Linked DNA regions of Drosophila melanogaster. The protein of the gene in region 2 interacts with the protein of the main gene of each other region in a pairwise test. Each region holds a gene or a part of one and is shown on either strand. Other genes may lie near its edges. The genes, in order: CG8841 and Orc5.

The links.
Region 1: the proteins of Orc5 (region 2) and CG8841 interact in a two-hybrid assay, tested with the Drosophila melanogaster proteins (one large-scale study listed by BioGRID).

The regions. Positions count from the first base shown.
Region 1 is NT_033778.4:12,321,719-12,328,136, reverse strand, and holds CG8841 (uncharacterized protein), read left to right. Parts: upstream 1-1,878; 5' UTR 1,879-1,991; intron 1,992-2,021; exon of another isoform or gene 2,022-2,143; 5' UTR 2,144-2,236; coding exon 2,237-3,479; intron 3,480-3,549; coding exon 3,550-4,820; 3' UTR 4,821-5,630; downstream 5,631-6,418. Other genes in the region: garz (gartenzwerg), read right to left, coding at 59-1,044, 1,100-1,298, 1,362-1,463; mIF3 (mitochondrial translation initiation factor 3), read right to left, coding at 6,035-6,418.
Region 2 is NT_033779.5:13,827,826-13,832,250, reverse strand, and holds Orc5 (origin recognition complex subunit 5), read right to left. Parts: upstream 2,415-4,425; 5' UTR 2,215-2,414; coding exon 1,117-2,214; intron 1,064-1,116; coding exon 779-1,063; 3' UTR 763-778; downstream 1-762. Other genes in the region: PolG2 (DNA polymerase gamma subunit 2), read left to right, coding at 1-313, 368-762; Arpc1 (Actin-related protein 2/3 complex, subunit 1), read left to right, coding at 2,833-2,905, 2,975-4,035. UniProt on the Drosophila melanogaster protein: Component of the origin recognition complex (ORC) that binds origins of replication. DNA-binding is ATP-dependent, however specific DNA sequences that define origins of replication have not been identified so far.

The DNA.
Region 1 (6,418 bases), on a different chromosome or scaffold from region 2:
TAGGGAAAGGAAAGAGTTAGGTCAGAAATAACTAACGAAGCAATTAAGAGTCCCTTACCGATATTAAGTTTCTGCATAAGTCGTCCTTAACCAGCTCCAGCAAGCCCTCATACTTTCCAATATTATCGGCTGCGACTTCAAAAGCTACAGTAAGTAGACTAAGACCCGTGTGCATCATGCTATCCGAGTTCTGCTTATCCAGAGGATTGCAGAGGATTATGAGGAATCGGAACAACTCCTGGATGAAGGGCAGGCCATAAGGGGATAGTGATGTTACATCGTGATCGGTGGACTGCTGTGTAAAACGGACGCCCACCGAGTTGATGTACTCGCTACTATTTGCCTCGGCCAGGGTGCTGGTTGCTTCACCCGTTTCGCCGTCCAGCAAGGGCTCCGATTCAGTCGACTCCACTTGAATAACAGGAGTCTCCGGGACAGTGGTTTCATCTTCCCCCGTGCTCGCCGTTGTTGTTGGTGTCTGCGTAATCTTGCCCTGCATGTCCAATATGTTTCCCGCTGGACTGGCGGGTGTGGTGGCCAATATGGGTGCCTTCAAGTGCCCTGGCACCGTCAGGTTGGCAGACTGCGGTGTTTGAGGCGGTTCCTCCACTGCTGACGATTTCCTGGGTGCTGTCTGGGCTTGGGCAACCGTCTTACGCTTTAGTTTTTCTTGGGTAGCTCCGCTGGCAGCATCGCCGATAGTAAATCGCTTCTGGAGCATGGTGTCACTTCGCTCTTCGGCGAACTGGGGAAGGCGCATGAAGAAGAGCAGCACCATGTCCTTGAGCGATTTTTCCGCCGAGCGACGAAGCAGTTCACTCAGCCTCGGCTCGAAGGAGATCTTGAAGCAGCTGAGCATCACCTCGCACATGGACACATTGCTGACGGCGGCTCCTTCGGGACTGCGGATAAGCGTGTGCAGCACCTCAATCACTCGCATAAAGGTGACACCATCCGAGGACTGATCGGTGCCCATAAAGCGGGCATGTGTCACAGCATCGGCAATGCGCTCCACAATGTCAGCCAGATTTGGAGACGTGGGATCTGTGGATAGGTACAGAATGAGCAAATGCAGAGGGTAAGCACTAAATCATAATACCTATTAGCCCGTAAGACAATAATTTGTTAACCGAGGCCAAGGCTAGACTAGTCAACGGACCCGTGGCGTCCGCCGTGCGAATCACCTCAAGAAACGGAGCCAGGAAGACCTGAGGCTCGATCTGACGCAGGTCCTCGATCCGATTTAGCTCATGCTTGAGGTCAATGAACAGCTTCAGCAGCGAGTCATTCTCGTCGTCCTGTGGATGTGCAAAAGGGCCATATACTTTCTATTCGCAGTGAGCATTAGGGGCACTATTTACCACGTAGGCGGTGGCATTCCAACGCGTTCCACGTCGCATCGCCGTCATCAGGGTGGCCATTTCGCCCCGCACCACGTAGATGCCGTTGCCTGGAAGCGCCATGGTGTCCGCGTGTCCTCCGTTGCGGTGTCTCTACGACTGCAGCTAGTTGGCTTCCAGTTCCAGGGCTAGCGCTGAAAATTGCAGTTTTCGTGGGGCAGGGCAGCTCCTCCTCCCTTCCCGACGACCTTCGCATATGTTTTGGCACTCGCCACTTGCCCACTCGCACACTCACGCTGCCTGGACGAATCTGGGCGTGCTGCCTAGTTGGGCATCTCTCACTAATCCTAACTAATCGAACTGGTAAGCTGCTAATTTTTGGTGACGTTTACGTGTCGTTTATGTTCTTGTGTGCAGTCCGAATATTTTGCACAAGCGTCTTCCAACACCGGCGCGGCAGTTCGTCGCTTCGCAGCACTGGCACAGCTGTAGATGCCAACTCGATGCGGAAATTTCAATAGATTAAATTGAAATACAGCTGCAAGCGTATATAAAAAAAATATAACCTTGTTTTTAAAATAAAATATGTTGCCAAGCTGTCGATCAAATTGATTTAATCAAATTGATATTTGAATATGAGGGCCAAAACAGGTGAGCATAATCAGTCACGCACGCATCTTCAGTCGTGAGCGTTACACCCACCACTAAGTTACACTGGCATTTGGTGCGTAGGCGAATTTCTAATTGGAATCGTTCGATTTTTGAAAAAGAATCGCATTAAATGCAAAGCATTCCTGTTCCAGACTACTGCGCACACTTGCACTGAGGCGATCGAGCACGGGGCAGGTGGATTTACAGGACTCAGCGATACCAAAGCAGCCCACAGGCCGAACAATATGGGAAACACGGACTCCAAGTTGAACTTTCGCAAGGCGATTGTGCAGCTGACGCAGAAGAACCAGAAGATCGACCCCAGCGACGAGCAGTTCTGGGAGCAGTTCTGGCAGGGCCACCAGACGACGCTGGAGGATGTGTTCGCGCTGGTCACCTCGAGCGAGATTCGCCAGATACGGAACGAGAATCCAGCCAACCTGGCCACCTTATGCTACAAGGCGGTGGAAAAGCTTGCCCAGGCGGTAGACAGCAGTTGTCGCACGCAGGCGGAGCAGCAGTGCGTTTTGAACTGCGTGCGGCTGCTCGTCCGGTGTCTGCCGTACATTTTCGAGGACGAAAAGTGGCGCGACTTCTTCTGGAGCAGCCTGCCATCGCAGGACAAGACCATGCCGTTGGCTCAGTCACTGCTCAATGCCACCTGCGACCTTCTTTTCTGTCCCGACTTCACGGTTACGGCCACGCGGCGTGCGGGCCCCGAGAAGGCCGAGGAGTTGGCGAACATCGATAGCTGCGAGTACATTTGGGAAGCGGGCGTGGGTTTCGCCCAGTCACCGCCCCACAACGCCCACATGGAGCGCAGGCGCACGGAGTTGCTGAAGCTATTACTCACCTGCTTCTCGGAGCCCATGTACCGATCGCCGCAGCAGTCCGAGGAGCCCAACAAGTGGATAGCATATTTCACCTCGGCCGACAATCGCCATGCCCTGCCGCTGTTCACCTCGTTTCTGAACACCGTGTGCTCCTACGATCCGGTGGGCTTCGGCGTGCCCTACAATCACCTGCTGTTTGCAGACACCACAGAGCCCCTGGTGGAAGCGTGCCTTCAACTGCTCATTGTCACCTTGGATCACGATATGGTGGTGCAGCAGCAACTCACACAACCCGGACAGGCGTCCTACGACGAGGGCAATTGCGGCGACAACTTGTTCATTAACTATCTTTCGAGGGTTCACCGCGACGAGGACTTTCACTTTGTGCTCAAGGGCATAACCAGGCTGCTGAACAACCCACTGGTCCAGAACTATTTGCCCAATTCCACAAAGCGACTTCATTGCCACCAGGAGCTGCTTATTTTGTTTTGGAAAATATGCGACTACAACAAAAAGTTTCTGTATTTTGTGCTAAAGAGCTCCGATGTTCTGGACATCCTGATTCCCATTCTGTATCACCTAAACTACTCCCGAGCGGATCAATCTCGAGTGGGCTTGATGCATATTGGAGTATTCATACTGTTGCTCCTATCGGGTGAGTCATATGTCATATGTTTTGTTCGTGGAATCAGTGCACTTACACTTAAATAAATGTTTATTGATAGGTGAGCGAAACTTTGGGGTTCGGCTTAACAAAGCATACTCCGCCACGGTGCCCATGGATATACCTGTGTTTACTGGAACCCATGCGGACTTACTCATCACTGTGTTCCACAAAATAATAGCCACTGGCCACCAGAGGCTGCAGCCGCTTTTCGATTGTCTGCTGACCATTCTGGTAAATGTCTCACCATATCTGAAAACCCTCTCGATGGTGGCTAGTGTAAAGATGTTGCATCTCCTGGAGGCTTTTAGCACACCCTGGTTTCTGCTATCGGCACCCAGCAATCATCATTTGGTGTTTTTCCTGCTGGAGATCTTCAATAACATTATACAGTATCAGTTCGATGGCAACTCGAATCTAGTCTACACCATAATTCGAAAGCGTCATGTGTTCCATGCCATGGCAAATCTCCCGACCGATATGGCTGGCATAGCCAAGTGCCTGAGTGGCCGTAAAACAGGTGGAAAGTTTAACTTGCCGCGGGTACCACAGCGAAGAACGCCAGCTGTGTCCCAGGAACTGCCCTCGGCCCACGTGCCAGAAGAGTACAACGAAGAAGACGAGGATGAGGACGAGGAGGAGATAATTAATGAAGAGCCCAAGGCGGAAGAGGATCTCGAATCGGAGACAGAGTCTCATGAGCGATCTCAGGCGGGGGAGCTGCAGTCGGACGTTCTCACGGCGCAGCCAGCCGAGCCAGGAACACTGAAAACGTCCTTGTTGGACACCCCGGGCATTACTCAGATGACGGAGCGGGAGCAGGCGCATCCAAATGACAAGCCTCAGGTGGAGGATTCTACAGACATTGTGCCCTACGACAGATCAGCCGCTTCGACGCCAACTGACGAACGCAAGTCCACCTCACCCACGGAATTGTCCCGCTTGTCGGTGGCCCACAGGGCCAGCATTCGCATGGTGCCTGGCGAGAGCGATCGTTGGACGCCCACGCCCGAGTGGATCGTCTCCTGGCGCTCCAAGCTGCCGCTGCAGACCATCATGCGACTGCTTCAGGTCCTAGTGCCCCAGGTGGAGAAGATCTGCATTGACAAAGGACTGACCGACGAGTCGGAGATCCTCAAGTTTCTGCAACACGGAACGTTAGTGGGACTGCTCCCAGTGCCGCATCCCATTCTCATCCGAAAGTACCAGGCCAATGCGGGCACAACGGCATGGTTCCGCACCTACATCTGGGGTGTCATCTACCTGCGCAACGTGGAGCCTGCCATCTGGTACGATACGGAGGTCAAGCTCTTCGAGATTCAGCGCGTCTAGGTCAGTAAGTGGACTCCCAGCTACACCAGCAGCGCAATCGTAGCTTACACGCTTTGGCATTTACTGTAGTTAATTTATTTAGTACATATTTCATTCCAAATGTTTTTGTGAAGAATCAGTGTGTAATGAACTACCTTTCCCACAATTTTGCTTATTGGCAACAAAAAAAATGAGGCTTATCAGTTACGATGTGGCATTGAGATCCATTCAACAGATTTGTTATCGGCTTTTAGCATTGATATTTAATTGCTTTCCTAATTTGTTTTGAAGAGTGTTCTAAAAAACAGTATAAGCACAAAGTGTTTTTATTTTAGTTAATGACTAAATTATTAAACAACTCATGTTTTTGTAATCTGTGACAGAAAATGTTCCTTGTGCCGTATATTTTATTGCATGGTTTTATTTATTTTATATTTTAATAATTTAAAAATTTCCTGTTTTTACTTATGTATGTATTTAAGGTGCAAATACCAAGAATAAATTACTTTCACTCAGCCACTCTACAAACGATTCGCTTTATCCAAACAAATTTGTAACTGCACCTATTGACACCATAAAAAGCTTTACGTTCTCTTGTAATGATTAGGAAACTTTAGTTGAGTCCAATGAACTGCTTTGTAAACTTAATTAAATATAGACATTAATGATAGAATTGAGAAAGTGTATTAATTTACTGTCTACGTGTGCTTATAAACTATATACACAAACTAAACTTATGACACCTATACAAGTCAGTTTATATAAATCATTTACGAAATATAGAGCAGAACCCAAGATAAGTAATAAATAATAAATAAATTTCATAAAACGAATTGAATCTTGTATTTTAATTTATAAGAATGGCCAAATATAGAGCCAAATGACAGTTACTAAAAAGCAGTTTCATATCAATCGATTTTACATTCTTGTAGGTTGCGTTCACGGTGGAGAGAAAGGACTTCATCCTTTCTTTTACGCTTCTTCAGTCGTTCTGCTTGCTCTCGATCCTCCAATAGTTTGACCAAATGCTGATGCCAGTAGAAGTATTTGAAGAAAAACAATAGAAGCAGCACCGAAGTGGTGACAATGGATGCGGTTGTGATCTCTACGGGCTTTTCGCCTTCCTCTTCCACCCGCTCCGAGAAATGGCGGGTGGATATTCTAAGGCCGAAGTTTTGTTTGCTTGCCGCAACATTGGGCCGATCCATGAGCACCGAAGGCAGCAGCGGTAGTTGTCACGACTGGATTGTATTGGAAGTGGCAGTGGATGCGGGCACTGGTGGCGGAGCTACTGGAATAATCGAGAATTTGATAAACGCGCTCTTGCTGCGCCTTTGCACTATTCTGCCAATTAGTTGTGGTTCCTTAATGGTCTGTTCGATGGCCTTTACTATGCGCTCGGCGCTGCTCTCGTCCGATCCACTGGCATTGCCCTGGATAAGGATGCGAACCTCGTGTCGCTTGCCCAGCCACTTCACAATGTTCTTGAGTCTGGAGGAGAGATCGTGCTCTGTGATGCGCGCACCAATGGTAAGGGATTTCTCCGTTTTCTTATCCTTAACTTTTTCGCTCGCTGATCTCGACTGCTCCGCATCATCCGACAGCATTTCAGCAGCTGT
Region 2 (4,425 bases):
GAACCACATCGCGCACTGGAGCACTTCTACAACATGCAGCGTGAGAGCAAGATCTGGTGGATGCGTCTTTCCTCGAATCCCAGTCGCTACCGCATCGTACCTTGCGATTTGGCTGAGGATCTCAATCCCAACGACTATCAAGCCATCGATATCCGCACGAGCTACGGTGATGCAGGAGAAGTGACCGTGGAGCAACTGAGCCTGGTGAGAATAGTGGACGACAAAGACTTCCGGCTGCCCGATGCGCGAACGGGTGAAATTGTGCAACCGACTGTCATAAGGTCTGTGATAGAGCTGGAAACTACCACCTGCGGTAAGTGGTCATCATAACTATCTTTGAAAATCTTTCTATATTATTATCCTTTAGCTCTGCTTCTGGATGGCTGTGATCATGGCCGGGACTCGCAATCCCTGCTCTTACACCGCGTTCTGGCGCCATATCAATGTGGAATTGCCTGTGTGGAAAGTGATTCCGAGCTATCTGCTGACTTGTCTGATCTTTGTCAGCATCTGAAACATGTTCTCAACCACGCCGGTCTTAGACTTTCTGAAGGGGATGGAATTCGTACGACGAAGAACGCTTCTCATTTAGCAGAGCACTTGCTGGAAACGGATATGCTCGGCATACCTTATACACTTGTTATAAACGAGCAAACGCTAAGAAACGGACTGATGCAGTTGCGCAGCCGGGACACAAGGCTGGCGGAGACCATACACATAAGCGATGTACCGGACTATTTATTAAATATATTTAAAAACTAAAAAAAACAACCAGGGGCTACATAAAGTCGCAGAGATATTGGCGGACATTAAAGCCCACCACCTTGCCAATCTGCAGGACAAACTCCAAGCCAATGGTGCACTGCAGCCTAGCGGAACCTTCCATTATGTTTTGTTCGCCGGAGACGAAGCTTAGTAGATTGAGGTGCACCAAAGTTGAGATCTGGGAGAGAAGGTTGCAGGTCAGACCGACTTTCTCCTCTAGAATGGCGTAGAAAATGGCCAGCAAACGATCGATGCTAAAGGATTTGGGTCCCAAAGTGGTGGACATTTTCTCCGTGGTCTAAAAGGTATTAAAATAAGCAAATGGAGTCATCGAAAAATTGAATAACCCACCTTGGCTCTGGCGTTGACCGTCTGCATCCGCTTTCGCTGTTTTCCATGGTGCTTGACGAACAATCGCTTGTCCTGCTTGGCGGCATTGTGGCTGGCTAAGAAGGCAGCGATCAACAGAAATTTGGCATAGTAGGGCAGCTCCAGCGACTGCGCCAGCTTGCGAACGCTCTGATCTTCTATGGCGGTGAAATCTTCAACTTCTTCCGCGGGTTTTTCAATTCGCATATAAATCTGGGTTAAGGCGGAACGCAGTGGTCCAGCTATATGCCGCCAAAGCCGGGAGATGTCCGTGGCATCCACAGTGCCGTCGAGTACAGGCTCCAAGTATGTGGACAGACACTTCCTGGCGGTCAGCTGGAGCTCTGGAACATCGCGACAGGCTTTGTAAAAGACGCTCAGAAAGAGATTCAGATAGTTGTTGTAGAAGTCTTCAGTTACGGCTTCCTGGCAAATCTCCAGACGCTTCTTATCCTGGGCGAACTGTTCCAGCAGTTGATTTCGCACCTGCTGAAAGTCAGATCCCAGGATGCGCTGTGTCTCCGCCTTGTTGTACTGCGCCAAGTGCAGGCAGACGATTTCACTAAGTCCGGTCTTGTTGTAGAACTTCTCAAAGGGCAGCTGGGAGAGCAGAATAACGCACAGATTCAGGTTGGTCAGCTCCTGCAGTCGGAGAAGAACGGGCAACACATTGGCATCCATGTCGCGCAGCCTTTCCGCGTTATCCACGGCTATGAGAAATCCCTGATCCTCCACGCGTGTAGCGGCCTGCCGACGCAGCTGCTCCACAAAGTCCAGCATGTTGTCGACCTTCAGCGCATCACCTTGATCGGGTGCCAGCGAGTCTAACAGGATCTCCAGCATTATCTTGGTGGTGTAGCATTCGATGGCATTTAAATGCGCTGTGCGGACATTTTGCCGTTTTCCACATTCTTTGAGGAAAGCTCTGGTCAGAGCTGTTTTGCCGGTTCCACTGTGTCCGAATAGGTAAATTGCCGAGGGATATGTCTCACTCGAATCTCCTATCAGCTCGCCCAGCGTTTCAATGGCCGCCTCCCGACAGGGAAACAGCGGCTCCAAGGAGGAGCAGATGGCTTCCATAGCTGTCGTCTGCTTTTAAGTTTCCTCAGCTACCCACAGGCGAAGTGGTGTTATTTAAACGGGCTTTCAAAAGGGAAAATACTTCCTCGGTTTATAAAATAACAAAAATAAATTACGAGCCAGCCAGTTATTAAAAATTTGTTTACAAGAAATGGTTTCTGTTTAGTGTGACCATTGAAATGGCGCCAAATTATTCCCTCTGGTATATACCGAACGTGCGTAACAGCACTGGTACCTTAGCATTTTTCAAACAATCGAAAAATATCGATATAACGAAATAACGATAGTATTGAGGGCCATCGATTTTTGTTCCAGCTCTAATTTCGGGTGATTAATTTTGTGCATTACTTTTCCAAAGAGTTTTTTCCACAACGCTCTACTCTTCCGGCCCAGGCAAAGCCAGAATCCATCCCAGCAACGCCAGCTTAATCGTGTTGACGGCCCAGAGTCCGCGATTAAAACGAGAGCGAAGCTAAAATCCAGCGGAAACAACGCCCAATTGCTACACAGCGATATCCAAAATCCGAAAATCCGGCGAACCGAACCGAAGAAACTACGCGTGTGGTTGGATTTGGACGAGCGAACACTGCACATTCCGAGCGCATTTAGCCACCCACGATGGCCGAGACATACACCTTTGGCACCTCGCTGGCCTCCATCACCTGCCACGCATGGAACAAGGATCGAACCCGTAAGTGCGACCCAAATTACTCATCCGGCACAGTGTGACTCACCACCACCCACTCCCAAAAATTCGCAGAGATTGCCTTATCGCCCAACAACCATGAGATCCACATATACAGCCGGGAGGGCAGCGACTGGAAGCTGGCGGACGTGCTCAACCAGCACGATCTGCGCGTCATGGGCATCGACTGGGCCAAGAACACCAATCGGATTGTGAGCTGTGCCGCCGACCGTAATGCCTATGTGTGGACGCAGGGCGACGATGGCAAGTGGAAGCCGGCGTTGGTGCTGCTGCGCATCAATCGGGCGGCAACCTGCGTCAAGTGGTCGCCGGCGGAGAACAAGTTCGCTGTGGGTTCGGGCGCCCGACTCATATCCGTGTGCTATTTCGAGTCGGAGAACGACTGGTGGGTGTCGAAGCACATCAAGAAGCCGATCCGCTCTACGGTCACTTCGCTGGACTGGCATCCGAACAACGTTCTGCTGCTGGCCGGCTCCACGGACTACAAGGTGCGCGTTTTCTCGGCCTTCATCAAGGACATCGAGGAGCCACCGACGCCGACGCCGTGGGGCAATCGCAAGCCCCTTGGCCAGCTAATGGCCGAGTTCCGCAACTCGCAGACCTCGGGTGGCGGCTGGATTAACAGCGTGAGCTTCTCCAGCGACGGTAACAAGGTCTGCTGGGTGGGCCACGACAGCTGCGTGAGCATCGCGGACGCTACCAATGGCAATACGGTCATTCGATGCCGCACCGGCTATCTGCCCTTCCTGTCATGCGAATGGGTCTCGCCCACGTCCGTCGTGGTGGCCGGCTATAGCTGTGTGCCACTGCTCTACAGTCTGACTGCCGATGGAAAGCTGGTGCTGAGCGGCAAGCTCGATAAGTCGCAGAAGAAGGAGTCGAGCGGCATTACCGCCATGAGAATCTTTCAGTCGATGGACCGCAACATGCGCACGGAGAACACGGACACGGTGGTCGATTCCATACATCAGAACGCCATCACCAGCGTGCGACTGTATGCCGGCGACAAGGCGAGCGCCACCAAGGTGTCCACCTCGGGCGTCGACGGGCAGCTGGTCATTTGGAATGTGGAGCAGGGCGGCATCAATGGCGGCATGCGCAACCTGCAGATCTAGTGCGGCCCGGAACGGACCAGCGTTACGTGTTATTGTCTGTTAGCGAGTGTGTTGGCCTGGCCAGGAGCGAAGTATTTGCCAAAATGTTTTCCAAAATCGCTTTTCCCATTGTTCTGTACCGTGCGAAAGCCTTTTTACATAAATTAACCGAAGAGATTGTTCTTTCCCCCCCCCCCCCCCCACCAACTTCCATAATGGTTCCGAAAGTGTGTGTGTGTTTTAAAGTGTTTCACCTTTATAGCAAACTGAATAAAATGTTTTTTATTCGTAAAATCAAATGTTAAGTGTTTGTTTTTTAATAATTAATCGTTTCAAGCAGCAAGAAATTTGATTTGTTGGAATTTTTTGAAAATGTTTTATATTTATTTATTATTAATTTAACGGAAATAA